5 linked regions of the Oryzias latipes genome follow. The protein of the gene in region 5 interacts with the protein of the main gene of each other region in a biochemical or structural test. Links are inferred from orthologs where the notes say so. Each region holds a gene or a part of one and is shown on either strand. Other genes may lie near its edges. The genes, in order: epsin-1, F-BAR domain only protein 1, ap1g1, numb and eps15.

What was found.
Region 1: the proteins of eps15 (region 5) and epsin-1 form a complex in vitro, tested with the Homo sapiens proteins (4 studies listed by BioGRID and IntAct, with this or other methods). The link is inferred for Oryzias latipes from reciprocal best matches to the Homo sapiens genes EPS15 and EPN1.
Region 2: the proteins of eps15 (region 5) and F-BAR domain only protein 1 form a complex in vitro, tested with the Homo sapiens proteins (2 studies listed by BioGRID). The link is inferred for Oryzias latipes from reciprocal best matches to the Homo sapiens genes EPS15 and FCHO1.
Region 3: the proteins of eps15 (region 5) and ap1g1 form a complex in vitro, tested with the Homo sapiens proteins (2 studies listed by BioGRID). The link is inferred for Oryzias latipes from reciprocal best matches to the Homo sapiens genes EPS15 and AP1G1.
Region 4: the proteins of eps15 (region 5) and numb form a complex in vitro, tested with the Homo sapiens proteins (2 studies listed by BioGRID and IntAct, with this or other methods). The link is inferred for Oryzias latipes from reciprocal best matches to the Homo sapiens genes EPS15 and NUMB.

What each region holds. Positions count from the first base shown.
Region 1 is NC_019874.2:19,874,664-19,879,563, reverse strand, and holds the start of epsin-1, read left to right. Parts: upstream 1-1,975; 5' UTR 1,976-2,128; intron 2,129-2,135; exon of another isoform or gene 2,136-2,362; intron 2,363-2,814; 5' UTR 2,815-2,900; intron 2,901-3,149; exon of another isoform or gene 3,150-3,222; intron 3,223-4,900. UniProt on the Homo sapiens protein: Binds to membranes enriched in phosphatidylinositol 4,5-bisphosphate (PtdIns(4,5)P2). Modifies membrane curvature and facilitates the formation of clathrin-coated invaginations. Regulates receptor-mediated endocytosis.
Region 2 is NC_019862.2:14,981,797-14,985,944, forward strand, and holds part of F-BAR domain only protein 1, read right to left. Parts: intron 3,510-4,148; coding exon 3,485-3,509; intron 3,368-3,484; coding exon 3,311-3,367; intron 1,158-3,310; coding exon 1,106-1,157; intron 342-1,105; coding exon 217-341; intron 1-216. UniProt on the Homo sapiens protein: Functions in an early step of clathrin-mediated endocytosis. Has both a membrane binding/bending activity and the ability to recruit proteins essential to the formation of functional clathrin-coated pits.
Region 3 is NC_019861.2:21,119,617-21,124,297, reverse strand, and holds the start of ap1g1 (AP-1 complex subunit gamma-1), read left to right. Parts: upstream 1-1,724; 5' UTR 1,725-1,826; intron 1,827-4,681. UniProt on the Homo sapiens protein: Subunit of clathrin-associated adaptor protein complex 1 that plays a role in protein sorting in the late-Golgi/trans-Golgi network (TGN) and/or endosomes.
Region 4 is NC_019880.2:1,035,141-1,039,809, forward strand, and holds the start of numb (protein numb homolog), read left to right. Parts: upstream 1-1,712; 5' UTR 1,713-1,895; intron 1,896-2,280; exon of another isoform or gene 2,281-2,403; intron 2,404-4,669. UniProt on the Homo sapiens protein: Regulates clathrin-mediated receptor endocytosis. Plays a role in the process of neurogenesis.
Region 5 is NC_019862.2:31,367,422-31,371,569, reverse strand, and holds part of eps15 (epidermal growth factor receptor substrate 15), read left to right. Parts: intron 1-126; coding exon 127-272; intron 273-467; coding exon 468-624; intron 625-972; coding exon 973-1,055; intron 1,056-4,148. UniProt on the Homo sapiens protein: Involved in cell growth regulation. May be involved in the regulation of mitogenic signals and control of cell proliferation. Involved in the internalization of ligand-inducible receptors of the receptor tyrosine kinase (RTK) type, in particular EGFR.

The sequences.
Region 1 (4,900 bases), on a different chromosome or scaffold from region 5:
ATGATTGGAACATGCCAACAAGCTGTATCAATGGCCCCTCAACCTAGTGGGATTAAAGGAAGCAATATCCACATCCTTTTAGAAACATATATAACTTATGTGTTTGGTCAGCAATAAAAATGTCTTTTGCTTGTCGATTTTTATATCCATTTGAATTGTTTCCTTTCATCTTATCTATCCACCTTCACAGTACTTTTTTTTGTTCCTATCTTTACCTCCCAAAATTTTTGAAAAAAAATACTGATAGGATTCCAGTTCTGTGTGTTATTTTACACTAGCAGTGGGTCAAGTCTTTCCTAAGGCTCCCACATGTTCGACACCCCCCTCCTCTTTCCATTCAGTTCAATGGACTTCACTTAGTGCATAGTTTCGGGACTATTATTGCCACTGGTCTGGCGGCTGTGCGTTATGCAACACAAACACTGGCTGCCATCACAACGAGCGGTCACTGCTTGGATTTCTCACACCACTGTTATGCTTATCACCAGTGTGCGCTCCCGCCTTTGTACCTCCACCCTGGGGTCCGTTGGCCTCTGTTGTGACAACCCGTTTCTGCTCTCTGAAACACAGCTTTCATCTCTCCTATGAAGCTGACATCAGGAGCCAACAGCTTTAGCTCACAATACTAAGTGAAAGAAATACTCGCTCACAGGGGAGCAGCGTGTATAGAAACTAGGCTCAGATGAGGGATCTAGTAGAGCTTTCCTGACACTTACTGGGAAGTTGCATAAGGAACATCTTCTGTTACACTGTCAAATTTGCTGAAGCTTTTCACTTCTTTAACAAAAACTTTGTTGTTTTTTTTGTCCTTAAGGCACATGATGCATTCTCCTTAAAACCTATAATATAATTGTAATAAAATAAACACAAAAAAAACAACTAGTACCAAGAACTGCTATAAGAATAATAACAGAAAAAACAAGTTTAATGAGCACAAAGAAGAAACAAACAGGATGGTGACATCATCCACTGGTTTAATCAAGTAACAAGAGCTAGAATTAGTGGCATTTAGTTACTAATAGGATTTAGAATGCAAATTGTCCTCTGCATCAGTTTCCTAGTAGATTTTGAATAAGATGAAAATGTGACATAGAGAGCATGAAATGGGATGATTGAAAGTCACAATTAAACATTGTCTTTTCTGTACAACAAATAAAAATAGTGCCATCTTGTTGGTGAGTTAAAAAAAAAAGAAAAAAATAGTCTCCTAGTAAATTATGACAAAATTGCAATTTTTCTAAATAAAGGGATTAAAAAAAAATCCTGAACTAAACTTTCAACACTGTTTTCTTGTTTGGTTTTTATGGCTCCACTAACGGGCCACAGGCTTTTTGTGGCTTCGTTTAAATCAAGACATACGGTAGTCCAATGGTGCCTCTTTGTGGACAAAATCATTCATTGCATTTTTAAAAATAAACAAAATACTCACATAGTAAAAATAATCAATATATTTAAGGTGTACTCTGTTACAATTTAAAAGATATTTAAATCAATTCATTTTTTCAATTATGTAAAAATAAAAAGAAAGAAAGAAAAAAAGAAATTAACATGCACACAGACAAATAAATAATAAAGGAAGTGAAAGTTTCAACTGATGTTTCTGTTACCATTTGTCCTTGTTAGTTCTTGATTTTTATACTCTGCTTTCAGTTTCTCTGTTTGATGGATAACCAAGGTTATTATGCTTCTAAAATTTTGCAAAAATAGGCACTGCTATTTGTTAGCTATTTTTGTCTCTAATTGACTCCTCTATATTCACTCTTCTTAGTTGACCTAAATGAAGGCAGGGCTCTCGTACACGTGCACAAAACAAACAATAGAAGAAGAACATTTATTTAATCAATGGAGGACTTCGTGTTTACTTTTCTTTCCTTTGACTAAACAGCTTCAAATGCGGCATGATTTTTAATACAAGGTTTGTGCAACAAAATAAAATTTAAAAAATGCATTTTTATGTTTGTTTCTGGGCTGTTTTGAATTGTGACTGGTGTGAAAAGTATATGAATTAATCATGAGTTATACCAGCATGGCATGATGAAAACACAGCTACAGGGGGTGCGGTCTTTCCTGTAAGGAAGCACGGAAGCGGAAATTCGGCCATCTCCTCGTACATTCAAGCTGCAACAGGGTTAGTACACACTTCATTTAGGTATTTATTTATTGTTTTGTTTGCATCTCCAACAGTTTTGCCCATATGACTTTTTGATGAGTGTCTTCAACACTCCCCCGCAGCAGAACACGCGTTTTAAATGCCGCACAACAAAGCAGTCAGATGGCATTCACGAACTAGCATCAGAAGCTAGCTAGCTAACAGTTACATTCAAGGAGCAGCAAGTGATTTCTTGGTATGGGAAACTGTCAGGTAACGTTACCTTCGTGTTCACTCTGCTGAGGGTCAGCGATATGACGTGAAGATTTCTATTTGGTTTGCATTAGTTAGCCCGCTTCTTTGCTCCCGTCTTGTGGACCCAAGTTAATAGTTTACCTAGACTTTACTTAGACAAACTGTTTCGATTAGCCATATGCTAGCTAGCTAATGTTAGCCATAAAATGACAGCTACTTTTAGTTACGTGTTTTTTTTTTTGTTTTTAACTTTTGTCTCACATAAAGACTTGGCGACACCATAGTATTCTGTATAATTGCTGAATGGTGTTGTACCTATTTGGCTTCTTTAAAGGCGTTCATACGTTAAGAGTTGCATAACGTGTATTAATATTAGGTTGCTAGCCAACCTTTAGCTTGTTAACTTAATAGGTGTGACAGGCAAAATCCAATTTTGTCTGACTGGGTAACGGTTGTTGGCTTATCTACAGTTTAGTTATCTGGATGGAAACCTTTTCTTTACGGGCCTGCGCACCGTCAACTGCATGATAACACAAGAGAGGAGGAATAATTGAAAGTAAGTTGAGTTCAGTGTCAGCTCTGCTACTTGATGTTAGTTTGAATTAAATTAAAAGTTTCAATCAAGCTAATACCAGAGCTCTCACTTTTTTAATGTTAAGTTTTAAATTGTGGCCTGGATGTATTATCTTATATTAGTTCTAGCTTTACTAGCCAAGTTAGTTTTAATATTGCCAAAAATATTACGATTTTTTTTTCCCGAGATGTAACTGAGCTGAATGTTTTTTTGTTTGTTTGTTTTTATTAGTAGAACAAGTTGAACCTTCCAGCTGCTTAACTTCAGTGTCAACATATTCCAGAACCTCAACCTTACACACAAGGTGTGTTTGTACTTTGCTCAGCCATGCTGCGAGTGACAAAGGTTAAAAAATAGTTAACCACTAAATGAAATTCGCGTTTTTCAAAATTTAGATTTTGAGATTGAAGTCAAAGCTGTAAAAATAATCATAAATCAAAGTTGTCAGTAAATGTTCATAGATGAGCTTAAAATCATGAGCAAATTTAGTTTTATCAATGTTACTAGCAAGTTGAGGGAGTGGTCCTGCTATCAGCTGCTGTCATTAGAAGTTAACAAAGTGGCGGCAATCTTTATGCAGGTCAGTGTTATGTCACATAGGTGTAGTTCATGTTAGGCTTGCCAACATTTTCCTGAATAAATAACTGCACTATTCTGTTAAGTGCATGGGAAGCGTGATAGACAATATGTTCTTAAAGGTTTGGGGGGAGAATGAAGACGTGTTTTTTTTCTTTCTTATTTTAGCAAAAATAATGCAAAATTAGCTTTTTCGTCTCTCAAAATTAAAAGATTTAGGGTTAAGCTGTTGTTTTTTGTGACTTAAAATAAAACACCCTTTTACTACAAATGTTAAGTGTGTGGAGATACTGTAACATTTAGCTGCAATATTTAGTTTAGCATGCTGATGGTTTATTCATTCAAAAAAGTGGATCATGATGTTTCATAATCCACTGTTTTTAGTCAAACTGTTGGTGGACTCTGAAATTGTAATCCCTTTAGTATCACTCCATAATCAGTCATTTCCATTTAAATTTGTTTTTTTTATAAATATATTTGTTGCGTGTTCTTTACAGTTGGTATAGATGAATGAGCCTGATCTTCTCGTACCATTACTTGTATACAAATGAAAAACAATGTAGTATTGGAGTTAATTCAAGACCCTTTACATGACCACCTATTAATGAAATTATCAATTTGCTGCTTTTTGCATCACACCTCTTCATTTTTAAGAAAACTCAAATTGCATCTCTAGAAAATTTGGGGTTTGTTGCATCCATTTTGTTGTTGTTGTGGTTTTGTACCAAAAGTTGAGGTTTTAGTTGTTAGGGAAAGTACAAAAGGGAAAGGATACATCTGGTCAGCAACTATGGTTTAACCTGCTGTGCAAGCAATTGAGAACAAACGATACACAAGAGGGAATGGCCTGGGGTGAAACGGTGGGCCTCATAATATTTCACATAATCATGCATAGCATGAAGTAAAACAGATTAGGTCATGTCTGTGATTATTTTAAAAACGAAAGCACTAATAAAAACAACAGCTTACTGACCCCAGACTCCTCAGCCTTACTTTTTGGTCCTTTTGACTCATTGTAGGTTTTAACGACATTGTACCTAAACTTATGCTTTTATTAGAAAAGCTGTGTTTATAATTACAGTTTATTGTTATTATAACCATTGTTTTCTTTTGGTTTCTAGCTGTTAGTGGTGAAATAAGGGAAGTTGTTTACAGAACTTTAAGTAACAGATCTTTTTCACAACCTAATTCAATGACCTCTTGAAGTTTTAAAGGACTTGCTAGTAAGCTGCATGTGTTTCGATTCTTTTAAAAAATATGGACGCTTCCCTCTAAAGCTCATAAAGCAGCAGCAGAACACTGAGACATGCAACTCTTTGCTTTTACTCTGACACACAGCTTTTCTTTTTTTTAAATTAAACCAATTTAAGACTTGATTTGAAAAAGTGTTTACAAACTCATTTTAT
Region 2 (4,148 bases), about 16 Mb from region 5:
TCCTCATCATCAACCGAAGGACGGATTGTATTCAGACTGAGGAATGTCAGAGCGATCTGAAGCTCAGTCCGACTGGAAACGAACCGAGACCACCTCGAAAATCGAGAGAAACGAACTCTTGTTGGCTTTAAACAAGCCAAATGTGTCCAGTCTGAATACACCCTTGGTTTCAGAGAAATGGGTGCAGGTTCATGAATGGAAACCGATTTTTCTTACATTCAGAAGCTCCAAAAGTGTTCTGCTCTCTGAGCTGTTCCTGACTATCAAAGCTTTTGGATTTGAAGGCCATCTCCAGCGGAGGTCCAAACAGGCCGTCAGAACCCGACGCCGTTGAACTTAATCTGACAGAGAGGGGCGGGGTAAATGAGACACAGTCAGGGAAAGCAAATAGGAGCTGAAGCATAGAGAAGCAGGGAGAAATGGGGGCATAAATGACAGAGGAATATATATGAAGAAGATGCTTTGTTGCTGGACCATTTTGGGAAGCCCCTGCATGATCAGCAGATGTTCTTTCTCCATGTGTAAAAATATAGCTTTGTGGAGAGAAACAGCCACACTTAGTGTTCATTTTCACAGATGATTTCAATATAGTTTTAGATATTTTAACCAGATTTTATGCAATATAAATGAAAAAAAATTGTATGCTCTCACAAAAATGTATGTTGGATGTCAATTATGGCACACACAACTAATATGCAATTCTTTATAACCTTGCAGAAGTGTTTAATAACTTTAATTTATTGTCCATTTTTTAGATTTTAAAACGTACTGATATTTTATTGTGAAAAGCTGCTTCAGCTCTGGCCAATGTGAGCAAAACATTCATCAAACCACCACTGGCCTTTTCTCCGGTCTTATTTTTCGTCTGTCAAACGGAAACAGTTATTTAAAAAATATATATATATTGAAAATGTAGGAAATAAAAATAAATAAAAAAAGAGAAGGAGACAACAGCTGAAAGACACAAAAGGAAAACCTAAAAAACTTCAAATCCCTATATAATAATAACAAAGATCTCTGATGGCACAGCTCCACCTCTGAATTTGTCTCTGCTCAGACACACAGGGAGAAGGATGTGACTGACAGCTTCACAGATTCATCTCACCTGCTGTGATTGGGACTGGAAGTGGACCTGCACAGGCCGCTCTGCTCTCCGTCTGTAGAGAAAACAACACACTCATGACGAGAAGCAGTCCGTCACTGCAGAGGACGCGCAATAGCTGGGAATAATCAGCAGCATGGCGTTCTTTATCACAGCAAAGAAGGGATGACACAAAGAAAACCCATCATGCAATGTTCTCATCATGTTCTCTGTGACAAATAGCAGCAATTAGCCTGGTCCCACTAAGCTCCACCTCCTGTCGTCTTAATCAGAAGCTGCTCATTAATTCTCCTGCTTCCAGATTTAGGGGCAGCAGGCTTAGAGCTGCTGAGCAGCAGCAGCAGCAGCAGGTTGAATCCTCCCACTCCAGCCTGACCTCCTGACAGCTAATAAACCCTTTGGTGATAAAACAGGACTATGAGGGTACGACTGACAGAGATGAGCAGTTAACTAAAGGTCAAAACACAAAAAAGATCTGCTGTCCAGAGAAAAGCATGGAAAACGGGCTACAAAATGACAGATGTTCAGAACATTTGAGCTACTTCTTATACAGCACAATCATTATTTAAATACACTCTTGTAATGTAATTGTCTTTGTAATCTGTATTTTAGTGGAAGAAATGCACCAATAATCTAGCCCTGCAAGATTTGTGCCATTAAACCATTAAAAGGCAAATTTAATAGAAAGTTGTAATTATGGCATGCTAAGAAATGAATTAGAAGAACACACAATGTCCAAAAATGTGTTAGAATGCAGTCTGGCTTTGGGTAACTAACTATAGCAGGAATACATTAGTGTAATGGCGAGTTCTCATTAAAAACAAAGAAAAATCTAATCTATTTTCTTTTGAAATGCCATTGTGGGTTTAAAAGTTTTTTAAAAGATTTATTAAGTCCAGACGTCTGAATCTGTGAATATCTTGTAAACTTTCCTGAACTGTTTTTGTGCGATATTATGTGCCATATAATAATAAGTCTGCATTAAATAAAAAAAAATATACATATTGCGCTGATGACAGTAATAAGAAAATAAATACCGTATTTTCCGGACTATAAGTCGCCCTTTTTTTCATAGTTTGGCAAGGGGTGCGACTTATACTCCGATGCGACTTATAGTCCGGAAAATACGGTATCCAATCCCTGATCGGGATGCAACATCTGTTACTGATCGAGTCTGAAACTATGTGATCTGGCCCAATATCAAATCACGTGATCAGATCGGAAATCCCAACTTGATACTACAGATTTAGTGAAACAAGTTGTCTTTTTTTTCTCTTGAACTATTAAATTTTCTTCACCAAATTGGCTGTAGTCTTTTTTGTGTCATTTGACGTTCGTTATAAGGTGAGATAAACGCTTTCCTGTTACCCAAAAACCTGAATTTGTGTTTGTTAGGGCTGCACGATATGAGGAAAACTCGCGATATGCGATATTGGTGATTAATATTGCGATAACGATATAATTTGCGGTATATAAACAAATATCAAACCAACCAAAAACATAATTTCCATTTCAATGCAACAGTATAAAAATTATACTCCAAATGACCCTTGTCGACATAGGAGGCAAACATCAAACATAAAAGGGCTCATCTGATTGATCAACAGCGTAAACGGGTCCTTCCGATTGGTTAAAAGCATAAAGGGATTTATTTCATTTGTTCAATATTTCAAGCTGCCGTGAGTTTGTTTTAGCACATTTAACCCTTGTGCTATCTTAGATGACCCCCCCTTACTTTGACATGTTCTCCCTACCATGACAAAGGTGGATAAAGGTGGAAAGATTTCATGTAATCCATGGACACCAGTGAAGATCACAAATCATTGAAGAAAAAAGGTTCAGAGCACTGTCTAGTGGGTCTAGATGACCCAACTCCCAATGTTAAAGTGCCTAGGACAGCACAAGGGTCAAGGTAACCATTTATTGCGATTTTCGCCGTCTTTTGCGGTATGCATATTGCACAGCTTGATGTTGCGATAACGATAAATTTGCGGTATATTGTGCAGGCCTAGTGTTTGTCAAGTTTTTAATCTAAAGTTAAAGAAGCAAAAAGTAAAAATAAACAGCTGGTTTAGCTTTTCAACACCCAGTTTGAGCTGCATTTTATATGTTTTGCTTAGAGTATCTGACATTCACATGTGTCCTATTTTGACAAGCAGGGATGTCAGTGGATCTTATTTCAGGTTATATATCAAACTGCTGACTCACCCCTGTGAGAGGCAGCCTCTGTTTCTTCTGACCGGCCCCCTGCGCTGCTCGAGTTTCCTGTGTTAAATACAAAGAAGGAAGTGAATGAAAAAACTAGTATTACTGTAGGTGAAGAAACATGCTCCACCAAATAGCTCCAGGTGTTTTCAAATCAATGGATGAAAGTGTACTCACTGGAGAGAATTCGTTTGGTTGAAACCTGAATCAAAACAGTGATACAAAGTTGAATTAATTTACATTTTTAGGATTACTAACAATATTAGCTAATCTTTTTACAAAAAAAGCATTAAAATGTAAATTTTCTACTAGAAAAGACAAAACAGCATTTGATAAATAATTTATACAAGTTCAACTCCTTCATAACCGTTGCTGAAGACTCTCGGCTATCATGGAGTCATGGCAACTGGACTTAAAATATTCTTATATATTTAATATCTTAAGTCCAGTTGTCATGACTAAACTTCAAGATTCCTTGATAAATATTTTTTAATTACCGTATTTTCTGGACTATAAGCTGCTCTTTTTATCCTAGGTTTTGAACCATGCAGCTTATACAAAGGTGCATCTATTCTGTGTGGTTTTTTTTCCACCACTAGGAGCACTCTAACCAGAATTAGAATCAACAATAATAATAGATAAATCAATGCAAAGAAGAATAGACTACGCTACTTTTTCTTTAGCAGATAGAACACGGATGGTAAATTACCAACCAATGGAGACAAATAACCTGACTTCATGTGTTTCAGCGAAGATGATTACAGTGACTTGTGGTTTGGAGAAATGAAGGTAGATATATACTGGTTATTTATTATTATTATATTATTGTTATTTAATATTT
Region 3 (4,681 bases), on a different chromosome or scaffold from region 5:
CATTTAGAAGTTTACAGAAGCTAATATGCTTTAAAAAAAACATAACCCATCATCAAATGACTATGACAAACTGATTTAAAGCTCATTAAAGGGTTCATTTTCCGATCACAACGTAAAAAATATGAAACAAGCAGAAAAAAACAAACTGGAGAAAAAAAATTAATGAAGTGTCCCATAAAAAAACGCATAACTGCATTTCGTTTAAACTTCCTATGCCTTTGTAGAGAATAAGAAGATACGACAATCCATTTAACAGGGTAAACAGCGCTCTCTGGCGGAGAAAACAAGAAACAAAAATATTTCAATAAACTTCTCTACAGGGGAGCAAATATTTTAATTGTATAGAAACAGATGCTAATAAATTTTGTTATTCTGTATGAAAAATACGTATATATGTTTCATTTCGTATAACTACATACACACTTTATGGTTCTTATCTTATTTTGTGTGGCAAAAAAGAAAGCCCTAGTTTTTAATTCAATAATTATTGATTTCTTTTTAAATTAGCGTACTATATGTATGTTAGAAAAAACGTGAAAATTTATTGAACTCATACTTTGTTTGTTTAGTTATTTGCTTTTAATAAAACAAATACTATCATTTTTTCCATCCAGGATAAAGGCAAATTAGTCCAAAGTGTTATTTATTGATGTTTAAGTTTTAATCCCTCATATGTTGCTTTGCAAAATATGTAATTCGTCTTATTGAAGTTCAACTCCCGACACCTGTGGGAGACCCAAAAAATAACCTTAACAACAAGGACATGTTAGTCATGCATACATGTACAACCATCTTGAATAAAAAGATGTATACCGTAATTAAAATGTTTTTGCTTTAAATCACTTTTACCAACACTTAAATGTAGCATCAAAAATATAAAATGAAGCATTTATGAGAGCCAAATTCCATTTTAAATGATATTTTAATGCATATCAATTTAATCCAAATTCTCTCTTTAAATAATTGTTACATTGAATTTCAAACCTAATCTTTATTTATAAACTAAATATACTAAGTATAATTAAACCTTTGCATGGTTTTGGTCAATTGAACAAAAACAAAACAAGTCTAAATTGGTATCTCATCAAAAAATAAATTATTGTTTTAGATCAAACCTCAAGAGGATCCTCTTAAGAGGACAAGAGACACCGCTAGGTGGCGCTTTAATTTACGGTACCACTGAACTCTCACATTGCATGCAGTCGTCATCACTGTATGCCACGAGTAAACTGACCGCAGCACGCCTTCGAGACGGACAGTGTACTCATCCGCAAGGTTAAAGGATAATATTCTATCTCAACAAAAGAAACCTCGCCTTGTCATTTAACACATGTTTCATGTAAAATGTCAGACAACGCATCTCAGTGTAACCAGGAATCCAATCTCAAATAAATACGTTTCGAAACCTTTTCAAAAAGATAATCGAGAACCAGATGGTTAAAGAAAACAACAGGCTCTATTGCTAGCGCTTTATAATAACGGGAACAGACCGAGCGTGCATTGTAGAAAACTGATCAAATAGAATAATTGATTTAATATTACAAAAGACCAATAGTGACATAACGGAACTATTACCCATGGTGTCCTGTAAACAGAGCTGTATCAGGTGTAATCTCGGTCACAGTGGTGACTTCTCTGCTTCCAGCCGTTCCTGCGATGATGACAAACTTGAGCTGAACGCCTTTTACCATCCTCTGAGAGTGTAACCCTCCGCCTGCGGTAGATGTACTGAGGCTGGAGTAGCCACCATTTTGCATGTCTAGTGTGTTCCTCCCTCCATCGCTAATAGAGACGAGTCCAGTCCTTTTCTGGCGTCATTACGGCTAGTAAGTACTTTGAAACAATAACATATCGACAGAAATGTGATAAAATGTAATTTTCTTAAACAAAAAACATTACGCGTGTGTTCGTGTCTGCGTTGTTATCTCAGAGAGAGTGCCACTGCATAGGAAGTTGCAGCGCTCAGTGCGCCGGGGCAGTGCCTGTCAGTAAGCTAAGTTAGCTACCATGTAGAGCAGTGCTAGGTATCTACGGGCTTAGCTATGCAGAATTCCCAAGTGTTTTGTGAAATATTTATTGTGACAGCACCTAACGATGACTGTGTAGTTAATATTTCCACTACTGGACCACAGCTCTTGTCCTGTAACTTATACACTAGTTAACAGCGAACTGTCAGGTAGCGAGCTGACGGTAGTACAGGGGGCTAGCTAGCTAGTTTGTAATCCAAATGTTCCACGAAGGCCTAAACGCATCATGTCCTCTTCACTTGGTGAACTCAGTCAGGTGTCGTAGCTCGAGGTTAAACAAAACCACTTTTCTAATTATTTTGTATGTTCATGTTGTTAATATTAACTTCTTGCATTTTATCAAAAAGCGTGAGTAAGCGGTAAAGCCTCTGTTGTTGCTAAGGATGTCCAAACATGATCCCTTTCGAGTAAAATGGGCACTTTTTGTAAAGCTACTTTTTACTCAGTTGTTGTGCCTCGTCGTTAAGATACTTGACAGTTTGCTGGAGCTTTAGATGTGGTTTTTAAATATTTAAAAACTTTAAAATGTCGAGTCAAGTTAGCTTTTGACATCCAGGAAGCTATAGCTCACTAAAGACGTGAATTTGTTTTTATAATGTTTACAAAACAGTTGGTGTCATTGAAGCGTCTTCCTTAGTAGATTTCTGTAATGAAACATCTAATTAATTTCCATTATAGCACTTGTTGCTCAGGACTGGTTAACGTTAAGGAAGTCGAGGTATAAGTAGGAAGTGCGCTACGAGTGTGACGTTCTGCGTATCGACGTGTCTGCTGGGTTGTCTTTAGTGTTAATGTTTCTGTTGACCAGGACCAACACACCTTTCAGGAGTTCAGGGGCCTCTTGGCGTAGGTGAGGATAGGCTTACAATCATACTATAAATTAATTATTGGTTTACAATAATTGTTAATTAACATTTGGGGTTTGTTTTTCTCAACTCTTTCGTATTAAATGGTCAGTGAAAAATATTGAGTGTCTTGCCTTTTTACTTTAGGTCTGAGGCCTTAGTAACCACCAACACAAAGTATAAAAAATCCATTTTGTATTTTCAAGTTCAAAGGAAGTTTATGCATGTTAAGCAGCTTTGAATAGATGGAGTTAAAGGCCCTCTCCTGTTAAAATTGTTGGTGTTTTTAACATGTTCCCGTGGCATTGTTCTCATGATGGAGTACATATATGCATACATAGAAAATTAAGCTAAAAATAGAATTTCTGTGCATTTCTTTATTCAAATTGTTGTGAATCAAGAGCAGAAGAAAAAATGCACTTGGAAGAAGCTGTGACATAAGTCCCCTGTTCAGCTTTATTCTGATGCATCTACTTGTAGACTAATGGATCCAAATAGATTGGCATCTGGCGCAAAACTAAACAGCTGGATATCTCCGATATTGCTCGCCATTTTTGTTTCACCGTTAATGTTACGTTGGTGCTGTGAGGTACTGTACTAGGGAACCAGTGGGAGAGCACGTAAATAGATGATGGGAAGTAAGGGAAAGATTACAGCATGGCAATAGTCCCACCCACAACTCAGAGGTAATTTTCTAATGAGCAACAGATTACTAAGTAGTGAGTTAATAAGGGAAACTCCTTTAATGCTGAACTGTTTTGTTAGATGGATCAAATCTGTATATAAATGAATGGATTTGACCTTTTTAAATGCAAAGTTATCCCAATTTAATAAATGCTACTTGGCAAGTATTGAATCATTAAGATCCCAGATAAGTCCTGTTTTATTTGAGCTTTTGTTTGGGGCTGCTTCCCGATTGTTTTACTGCTCCTGTCACTAATGCAGTATTTTGTAGACTGGAAGAAGTGGCTAAAGATCTGCTGAACATATTGTGCATTTGCTTGGCTAATATAAGACTAGCAAAATAAAATGTCTGGGACCAAATGTAGTTTTGTTTAATGCAGATTTCCTCTTAACAAAGTTGCAAAGCATTATGGCCACCATTAATCCACATTATCTTGTTACTTTAGCCATTAGGACACAACTCCAATGTCCCCTCCTGTGACACACCCACATTAGCCAACTCCTCTGTTTTGCATTCAATCTGAAAGGGTTGTTCTTTTCACCCAGGGACATGGGGGTTGGTCATGCGTCTATCTTGGATTGCAATCTCCCCGAATTCATTGAAAACAAAATAAAATCCAAAATATATTTTTCATCCTGATTCTGTCCCTAAAACATGTCATGTCATGTGATTGACCATATTTCTCATCTCTAGAAGTGCTCATCCTGCAGTTTAAAATAATAAATCAGTCACTTCTTGGACAGATCTGAAAGCACAGTTTCATGAAAAGTTGAGCCACTTTTTGACAGGACACAAATAAAAACACCCAGCAGAATCTGTCGTGTGCTCTCTTAGGAATGGGGTCAGTAATTTTTTTAGGTGAAAATAATCTGCAGTGTCATGATTATTTATTAGCTCCAGCAACATGACAGCCAGGCTGATAGGATCATTTCTGCTGAGTCTGTGATTAGAACTGCAAGAGAGGCCTTCAAATAAAAAAAGGTTTTAGATTCACATAAACAAAAGTATGACCTCAACAGAAGTCTGAAATTGACAAGAGAGCAAAGTCTTCAGAGATGCCTTTTGTTTAACAGCCCACTTGAAGCTCATCCTTAGCTTTTGTGGAATTTGTTTATACTGATCCA
Region 4 (4,669 bases), on a different chromosome or scaffold from region 5:
GGGGGGGGGGGCATCCTGGGGGTTAATACTCCAGAGCAGGAGGTGGGAGGTACCAGCCTTGAGCTCCAGACTCTTTCACTGTACATTTTTGTTGGGGTTGTTTCTGGAGCAAGAAGCGAAATATGAAACTGTTAAACTCAAACGCTGCTTCACTAAAGGTGAATCCTGAGCTGCGGCTCAGGTGACCTCATGGTGAGGTCACGCGGCCGAAGCTGCTGGCAGCTTTTTTCCCAGTAAACAACAACATTATAATTGCTGTTTGCTATTACTGATAATGAATCAGTAAAAGCTGATTCTCTGTGGCGACCCTGAAGGGATCTGCTGAAAGGTGAACAGCATTTTTACTTCCATTCAGGGAAAGGATCCCTTTTCTCAGTGAAAATGTGGACATTAAAGCTTTATTACTGAACAAAAATATGGGTTTTAATCCAACAACAGCCACAAATACTTCCTGTGGGGGGTCATATTTTAAGCCAGACAGTATTTATTTGAGCAAAACTTATATTTGAAAAATGAAGCTCCTCTCCCTGCGAATGCTCAGGAGCTTGTTGCTGATGTTGCTCATGTTGACCACAGGGGGGCAAAATACTTCAACATTTCACCAGGAATGCAGCCCCAGGACCTGCCAGGCCTGTTATGTGCATAAAAAGATAGAAGAGATGATTAAGAGGGTTGGCTTTCAAAGGCGTAGAGACAGTGTTAGAGGTCAGCAGTCAGAGACACAAGACAGAAGAGAAACCATCATCATAACCGGCTTTGCCGGCTGAAGCTCTGTGTGTTTGCCTTCTGATAGGAGAAAATATGCTGCTCTGCAGCTTTGTACCCATTGGAGCTATGTCAGGAATGCTGATAAACTTCTGGCCAGCTAAAGAGGCCAGTGTGTCGCTATGGGGGTAGAGGGGCGTAGGCCTGCGTGGGGCGGCTGAAGATGGTCAAATGATCAACATGATGATGGTTCAGACACGAGCTGTGCAGGAACTGTGGGAAGTTCTGCTCAAAGAAATAAATCATCGAATCAGTCAGACGCTGAAATAACGGCAGAGTGGAACATGTGTCAAATAGCTGTGCTTTCATAGTTTATGCAAAGCAAATGATTACCTTTATTTGGTCAGAGAGGGTGAAACAGGATGACACATTGTGCATTTTCCCGTTCATTGATCAAACTGGCAGAATCAAGAGTGGTGCCTTTATAGTGTTTTGTTAAACCTGAAAACCCATAAATGTTTATTTTTAATGGTTATATTTTGCATTGTTTTCACAAAAAATAGACATGATAATCAATCAGAGACAAACGAGAAAAGTAATTAATTTATAGAAGAAAATAAATACAAAAGAAACAAAAAATTTGCTAATTAAAATGAGAAAAACATTAAATCGTCTTTAGCTTTTTATGTTTTCTTTAATTTAATTAGATAAAATAAATGAATTTAAATGTTTTAACGTTCTTTTGTACTTTTTACATTTTTTATTTTGATTTTGCTAAACAGCTTACTAAAAAGTATTAATTTATTGCACAGATTAAAATTGTTCCTTCCTTTTTTAAATTAAAAGTTAAAATGTTTTAAAAATAATTTATTTACTCTAAAATCATCCTTATCTTTTTTTTGTCTTTGTGCTAAATTTCTTATTTGTCGGCAACCCCTCAGAATTTGGCCCAGTGGCCATCGATCACCGTGGACCCGCACGCGCCGGCCTATGAGCGCGCGCGGAGGCGGTCCGTTGCCAAGGGCGAGGTTTGGTTGAATCCTCGCGCTGCAGCCATTCAGCGGCGGCGGTTGGCCCGGAGGGTCTCGGTGACGGTTATTGTGGAATTTGAATTATCCGGAACGGGACGGCTCGACGGTCACAGTCGGGGCTTTAACGGGGCCACGTCTGGATCACGGAGGTGATCACAGGTGAGCGGGAAAGAAGGGTTAGCAAAAGGGGCTAAAGTAGCACTAGCCCGGCTGATGCAGTGGTGTTAGCCCGGTTCTGTGGCTCTTAGCTCGGTCTGTAATCTCTCTAATGACGCGGTGAGCGAGCAGGAGTGTTCAAACCGTCTCCGGTCTAATCTGTTACCGGGAAGAACCGAAGAAAACGGAGCCCTTTCGACGTTTTTCCTCGTCCTCTGATCACCTGGTTAACTTCCAGGTACCTGGTTTAACTTTCAGAGGTAAACGGGTGAGGTCAGAGCGCACGCGAACTGTCACGACACGTTGTTACACACGGCCCACTCGTGTAATATCACTGTCACAAGTGCGCACGCGGGTGTGGAAGTGCGAAGAAGTTCGGATGTTGGCTGTGTCACGGCTCACGTCGAAGCCTCCGCGAGCTCCGAGCTCGCGCTCTCCGAGAACGAGCCGTGACTCATCGTCCGAACGCGCAGCTTTTTTTTCCAGGTGTGATAATGGGGCCCGAGATGAGGTAATGGTATCTCCGTGAGACCGTCCGGCTGCCGGGAGTACCCCCCCCCCCCCCACTGCATCCACATCGGTACTCAGATTACTTTCCACAGGAAAAGAGGCGCGTGATTGACGGCGCGAGCCTCATGACGGACATTGGGAAGCGGGAGTCTGTCGTCGTCCCGCGAGGTCACAACTTTGTTTATGTGACGGGGGGGTCACGGTAAACAGTGATCGGGGGGGGGGGGGGGGTATGCGGAAACACTGCTGCTTTGTTTGGGATTTAAGGGGAAAGTTAAGGAGAATTGTTAACGTTACCGGGAAGAAGGTAAAGTCTAGAGTTTACAGTTCTAATATTTGACCGCATCATGCTGCTTATTTATGGCACAGTCTGTCACGTGCCGAAGTTCATGCTTTTATTATATGATCATTTATTAATTTACTTAGCATCTGGTGTTTAAATCTTGCTTTTCACGAAATAATAATTTTAATACACTTCATTTTCACACTTTTAAACTGCTAGAACAGCCATAAAGTTCCCTTATTTGTTTAGCAAAATTCAGAAATTTGCCTACTTATTTTTTTATTGCTTCTTGATTAGTAAGAAAATGTCAGTTTTATATGTTTCTCCATAAATAGGATTTTGTAAAATGCCATGAAGGATCTCATTCATCCAGCTGATGTCTTAAAGTTCAGCTGGGACGTTTGGTTCGGATGACTCAACTCTTTTTTCTTAAACTTTTTATTTGTTGTCTGACTTTAGATTAAATAAATTGATGAAAAATATCAAATAGAATTGTAACAAATCCGAATTTCCTCTAATGGAATACTTTGGACGGTAAATTGATTTTTGCAGGACAGGATCTCCTTAGAAATTCAAAAGTACTGTAGTTATTTGGATTTCCAAATGTAAAAGGCTTCGTTTGTAAAGGGTTTGTTTCTTCGGGTGCTTGGAGCTGCCCTATTTTAGGTGTATGTTTGGGTTTGAACTGGTCTTTAGAAGAAATGACAGATGCAGACAGAAAGTGCTGCTGTGTGTTGTAAAACAGAAGACATTTTATTGCAGATGATGATGATAACTGAGAGACCAAAATGATCCACATTTTCTAAGCTCACATCCTGCTGCTCATAATGAGCATGAAGGAAATTGAATGAGTTGTTGTTTTCTTTGTCTGATAAAATGACCCTACAACAACAGGAGGCACATCATTACTAAACATTTACAAGCATTAATGCCGAGTCGCTGGCCTGAGTGAATCTCATCAGAGTGAAATCTGCTGCATTTCAAAATGTCAAAGCTTTATTTAAAAACACAAGGTCACAGTGAGGAGGTCCTCTGAAGAGGCAGGTTCACATTCGGAATCAATTCAGCTCCAGTGTTTCTAATAGGCTGAAAAATGGGGGCGGGGCTTCTCTTTCCACAAGGTTGTTAAAGTAACCCATGGTCATCCCCAAGAATTAGGGGAGGGGCATTGGCAGTTTCTCACTGAAGCGCCCCCCCTGTGAATATGTCAGCAGCAGGAGGAGAAGCCCAGAAGGCCCAGTCCTCCTCTGTGGGGTGCGGTTTAGTGGGAGACATGATGTTCTCATGTAGGCACAGAGACAAATGGGATGAGGGATGGTGGGGCCAGAGGGATGGACTGTCCCCGTTTCTCCAGCATCCTCTGAGTTAGCGCCAGAGGTGGAGGTGAAGCTCTTTGATCTCTTCTCCACAACCTTTTCTCTACACATGCTTCAAGTTGCGGTTCATGGGTTCCAAAACCCCTTATCACCTTTGCATGGGGGGGTCATTTTTGTCCAATTTTTCTTGTGATGGAGGACATGTATAGAAGAAGTTAAGATTACAAGATTGGATTTCTGAATATTTCTTTATTCAAATCGTCATGGATCAGGAGCAGATAAAAACCTGCTGTTTTTTTTCAAACAGCAGGTTTTTATCTGCTGTTTGCAGCCTACCACAGCAGCAGCTGTGGTAGGCGGGGCCAAAGTCTCCCAGCTCCGCCCCCTTCTGATTCATCCACCTGCAGACAAATACATCCATGAACCTCTTTGGCTACGTTCACACCGCAGGCTGAAACGACCCAATTCTGATTTTTTTGCCCCTATGCGACCTGTATCTGATCTTTTCATGACAGTCTGAACGACACAGATCCGATCTATTCAAATGTGACCCAGGCCACTTGGGTATGTGGTTCTGAATCTGATACGTATCCGATCTTTTGAAATGCGACCTCTGTCTGACCGGCCAGGCCACATGAATCCGACCCGTACGTCATCGATACGCTACA
Region 5 (4,148 bases):
GCTAGCGCAGAGCGATTTTCAAAGCAGCCCAAGTGAGGTGCAGGTGAGTGGGGGGACCGTGATGTGGGCCGCACTGGCATCCAGCTGTTGCTGCAGCATGAAAACCTTCTTTTCCTGCGTGGACAGTGGGTGGTGACACCAGCAGAAAAGGCCAAGTACGATGAGCTCTTCAGCAAGACGGACGGGGACATGGACGGCCTGGTGTCCGGACCAGAAGTCAGGGACATTTTCCTGAAAACGGGGCTGCCCTCTGCCACACTCGCTCGCATTTGGTGAGTAAAAACAGGAGATGCTGATGCTGAAGCACACATCTACTAAACAAAAGCCCACATATTTGAGCTGAACATTCTGTCGCCGGAGCGTCACTTTATCGATTCTCCTCCTCACATCAGCTTCTGACCCGCTGCCACCGTTCTGCCCAGAGCAGAAATCATTTTCTGACGTCACCCTCATAACTGCGTTTTCAGGGAGCTCTGTGACATCGGAGACATCGGGAAACTGACCCGGGAACAGTTTGCCTTGGCACTTTATCTCATCAATCTGAAGCTGACCAAAGGCTTGGAGCCTCCGCAGAGTCTTTCCCAAGAAATGATCCCTCCCTCAGACAGACAAAACATCAAGCAGGTCAGCCAGTCAGGCCCTTTTCTTTCTCTTTCTTCTACTTTTCTTGATGCACGGCTTCTTAATCGGTTTTATTTAACATAACACGTTTTCTTGAATGGGTCCAGTCAGCTGGACTGAACAAAGGGGGCAAAAGTAAATTTGTTTGTGCTCATTTTCGTCTTTTTCTGGTGACAGTTTTTCATCATTAGACGTACAAATGTTTTTTTTGTCTTAGTTTGTCGTTCATCTCCGATGTCAGTTTTACTTCCTCCCACTTTTTTTCCGTTTTTGCAGTTACGTCTCATTGTTTCTTTTGAATATTTTCCATCGTTTTGTTGTAACCAGCAGTTCTCACTGCTTCTTTTCCAGAGCAATGCTGCCAACCTGGCGGCTGACTTCTCTGCCATTAAGGAGCTCGACTCTCTCAGTAACGAGATTGTAGAACTACAAAGGTAATTTTAATTTGTGCATCTATTACAAGCAAATATGAAGCCATGAGTCAAGTTGGAGAAAAGATAAAAACAAACGTCTGGCTGTAGTAAAGCAGGGGGTGGAGTTAAAGAAACAAAATATTTGTATTAGATCACGTTTATCAGTATGAACCGTAGATATACTGCAAATGTTGCAGACGGAGGTGTTAAAAACAGGACATGACTGAAGCTTTTTTAGGTTCGATCATAAAAAAAGACATTTACATTTACATGCTGTATCCCAAACTGACCAGCAGGGGTCAGTGTTTCCAGTAATCCATTTTTTTGGATTTCTGAGTTCAGTTCTGTCTGAAACCGGTATAATTAACTGTAAACATGTTAAACATTAGTTTGAGATTTATTCTGAAGATTCTCAACCACCAACAGTTACAACTTTAGTTTAAGAAAATGTCTTTACCAACACTTTTTTTTAAAGAATCTTTCATGATTAGAAAGTTCTTTGCCTATAATTGGTTGGATGCTAAAAATCCTTCAACCGTTGTTTTCCTGTTTCTCTTTCTTTATTCTAGTATCTTCCACCATTTTTTGCTGCTTATCTCCTTCTACAATTTTCATCTGTTTCAACCATTCAACTATCCAAATGTTCAGCTCTTTCAGCTTTTTCCAGCTGTGACTTTTGGTCCTTCAAATCCTTGAACTTTTCCAGATATTCCAGGATTTCTGCCTCCATTGAAATCCATGGGGAATCCTTGGTGCAGAAGCTCGCTGGTTCGATACCCGGCTCTGGCATTTTCCATAAACACATCTTTTGATATTGTGCTGTTTTGACTTTATTTATGCTCAACTTTGATCATTTCTTTCTTTATTTATATATATTTTTCCAATTATTCCCCTTTAAGTTTCATTTTCATTCAGCAATATAGCATCAACCCTGCCTTTTCCTCTGGAAATGTCTGTTGGGCTCACTGTCAGTTTCTGTTGCTAGTTTCTTCCTCACACTAAGCCAGGGGTCGGCATCCAGCGGCTCCGGAGCCGCATGCGTCTCTTTCCTCCCTGAGCTGCGGCTCTCTGTGGTTCAGGAAAATAACCGTCGTGTTCTCAGATGGTCGTGGAGCCGTTAACACAGTCAGGTAGAGCGAGAGAGCAGCGGAGGGGGCGTGTCTGCAGCTGTGAACGCCGACCACAGTCTGTTATGGGATGGAAAGACGGTCAGTGGCGATCTCGTAGGGGACACATGAGCGCCCCCAAACAATCATTTCATCCCCCTAAACTAAAACCACCCATTTCCACATGAAATGAATTAAATTTGCTATCAGGGGCCCCCCACTACCCTGTCACCGTGCTGCTACGATGGCCGTATGTTGATCTGTCTGTGTAGAACACGCTGCGGGGGCGGGGCTTATGTTTCCAGACCTACCACAAACTAACAGCTGCTTCCTAATAAAAAAATAGTTGTCATCCATAAAATTAATATAATTTATTGGGTTTACTGGATTTAAAGAAAAATAAATAGAAATGGAAACGTCTGCATCAAAGGGAATTTGTTTTGACAGACAGAAAAGTCTGTGGAAAATGGACAAAAGATCAAAGGAAATATCACGCTCATAAAGAATAAAAACTAATTAAAATAAATAATTAAATAAATATCCTGATGAACTATAGTGATATATCAGCAAAAACATGTTTTAGTGCTGCAGCTCCCTGTTCTTTCATCTCAGTGGGAAACTGATCCAAATCAGAGGTTCAGGTTTCTGACTCCTGCATTAAGCTAAAAATACGTTTTTGTTCATGAAAGCTGAAAGTGAGAAGTGAAAAAGTGGTTTCCAGCCCAGCTGCTCTTCCAAACAGATCACAGTTTATGGGTTAATAGATGCGTGGAAGACTCAGAAGATTCACCATAGATCAAACTTGACACAATGATGTCCGTTTGCTGCTGTTTCAGGTTTTGGCAGCGACTTTCTCAGCCAAAGGATTCTGGAGAATGTGATGCGACGTAGGAGCAGCAGAGGCGTGAGCTTTACTGTTCTGACAGTCAAAAATATAAATGTGAAAAACATTAGAAAGATCAAAGGAAGCCTTTGGGAAATGCTGAGGAGGCTCCATTTATTCAGAAAGGCAACCAATTTATGAGCAAAAAACACTTCAGCTGCATTAATATTTGTTAATATATTAATATATTGTTTTTAATAACTATTTTAAAAAGTTTCTAAAATGAGAATAATTCCAAACCATTTTGAAAGAATTGCCTTGACAGTTGTAGTTTGTGAACTTGAGTTTTAAAAAGGAGAAAACTAACCGAAAATTCAAACTTCTTTCAGGTTTCAGTTTCAAGGATTTTGTTTTTCTAACTTTAAAATGAAATTTGCAAGTCGTCCATGTTATCTGCAGACATTAGGAAACTTCTGAATTTCAGTTTATAAAGTTAATCAATAAAATGCAATGATTATGCTTTTTCATTTCATTTCTGGCTGCAAAAAGCGGCATTTCAAGTCAAATCTTGGGTGAAAATTTGGCTTCCTTTAAATGATCCTTCACCGTCTTCACTCCAGCTGTGGAGTTTAAGCTTTTTCTAAAACCTAAATGTGACGGCTCCAAAAACAAAGCTCCTATTCCTCTGGATTTCCTTTCAGTGCTTATTTAGAGTTCTGTTTTAAATTTCTACCTTCAGAATTGTGGATCTGTTCTCGGCTTGACGTGGCTTTAAATCATTAAATGCTGTGAAAAATGAAGAAACAGGAAAGTTTCTATTATATATATTTATAAAAAAATCCAGAATCTACCTGCTTATTTCCTTATTTCTCATTTCCTTTGAGCTAAATCTATATTTTTAATCACTTAGTTTTTTCTCTGCCTTATGTGAACTTGCCGGTTTGTGTTTGTAAAAAGGTTTGCTGTTTTTTAAAATGACTTTTCTATGTTTGTCTGGCGTGACGCTGGTCTCCATGTGGGCGATCCTCTAAAGTCTGACAGGAGCTGTAGCTCCTGAAGAAGGTCCCGAACTGCTCGTGAGCTGCAGGCCGGCTCTTCCGGACTCCAGCTTCACCCCCTTCATCACTGCTCCTCCCTCCTCCTCCTCGCTACGCGTCACGCGTTCGCTCACCTTCGCACCCCGGG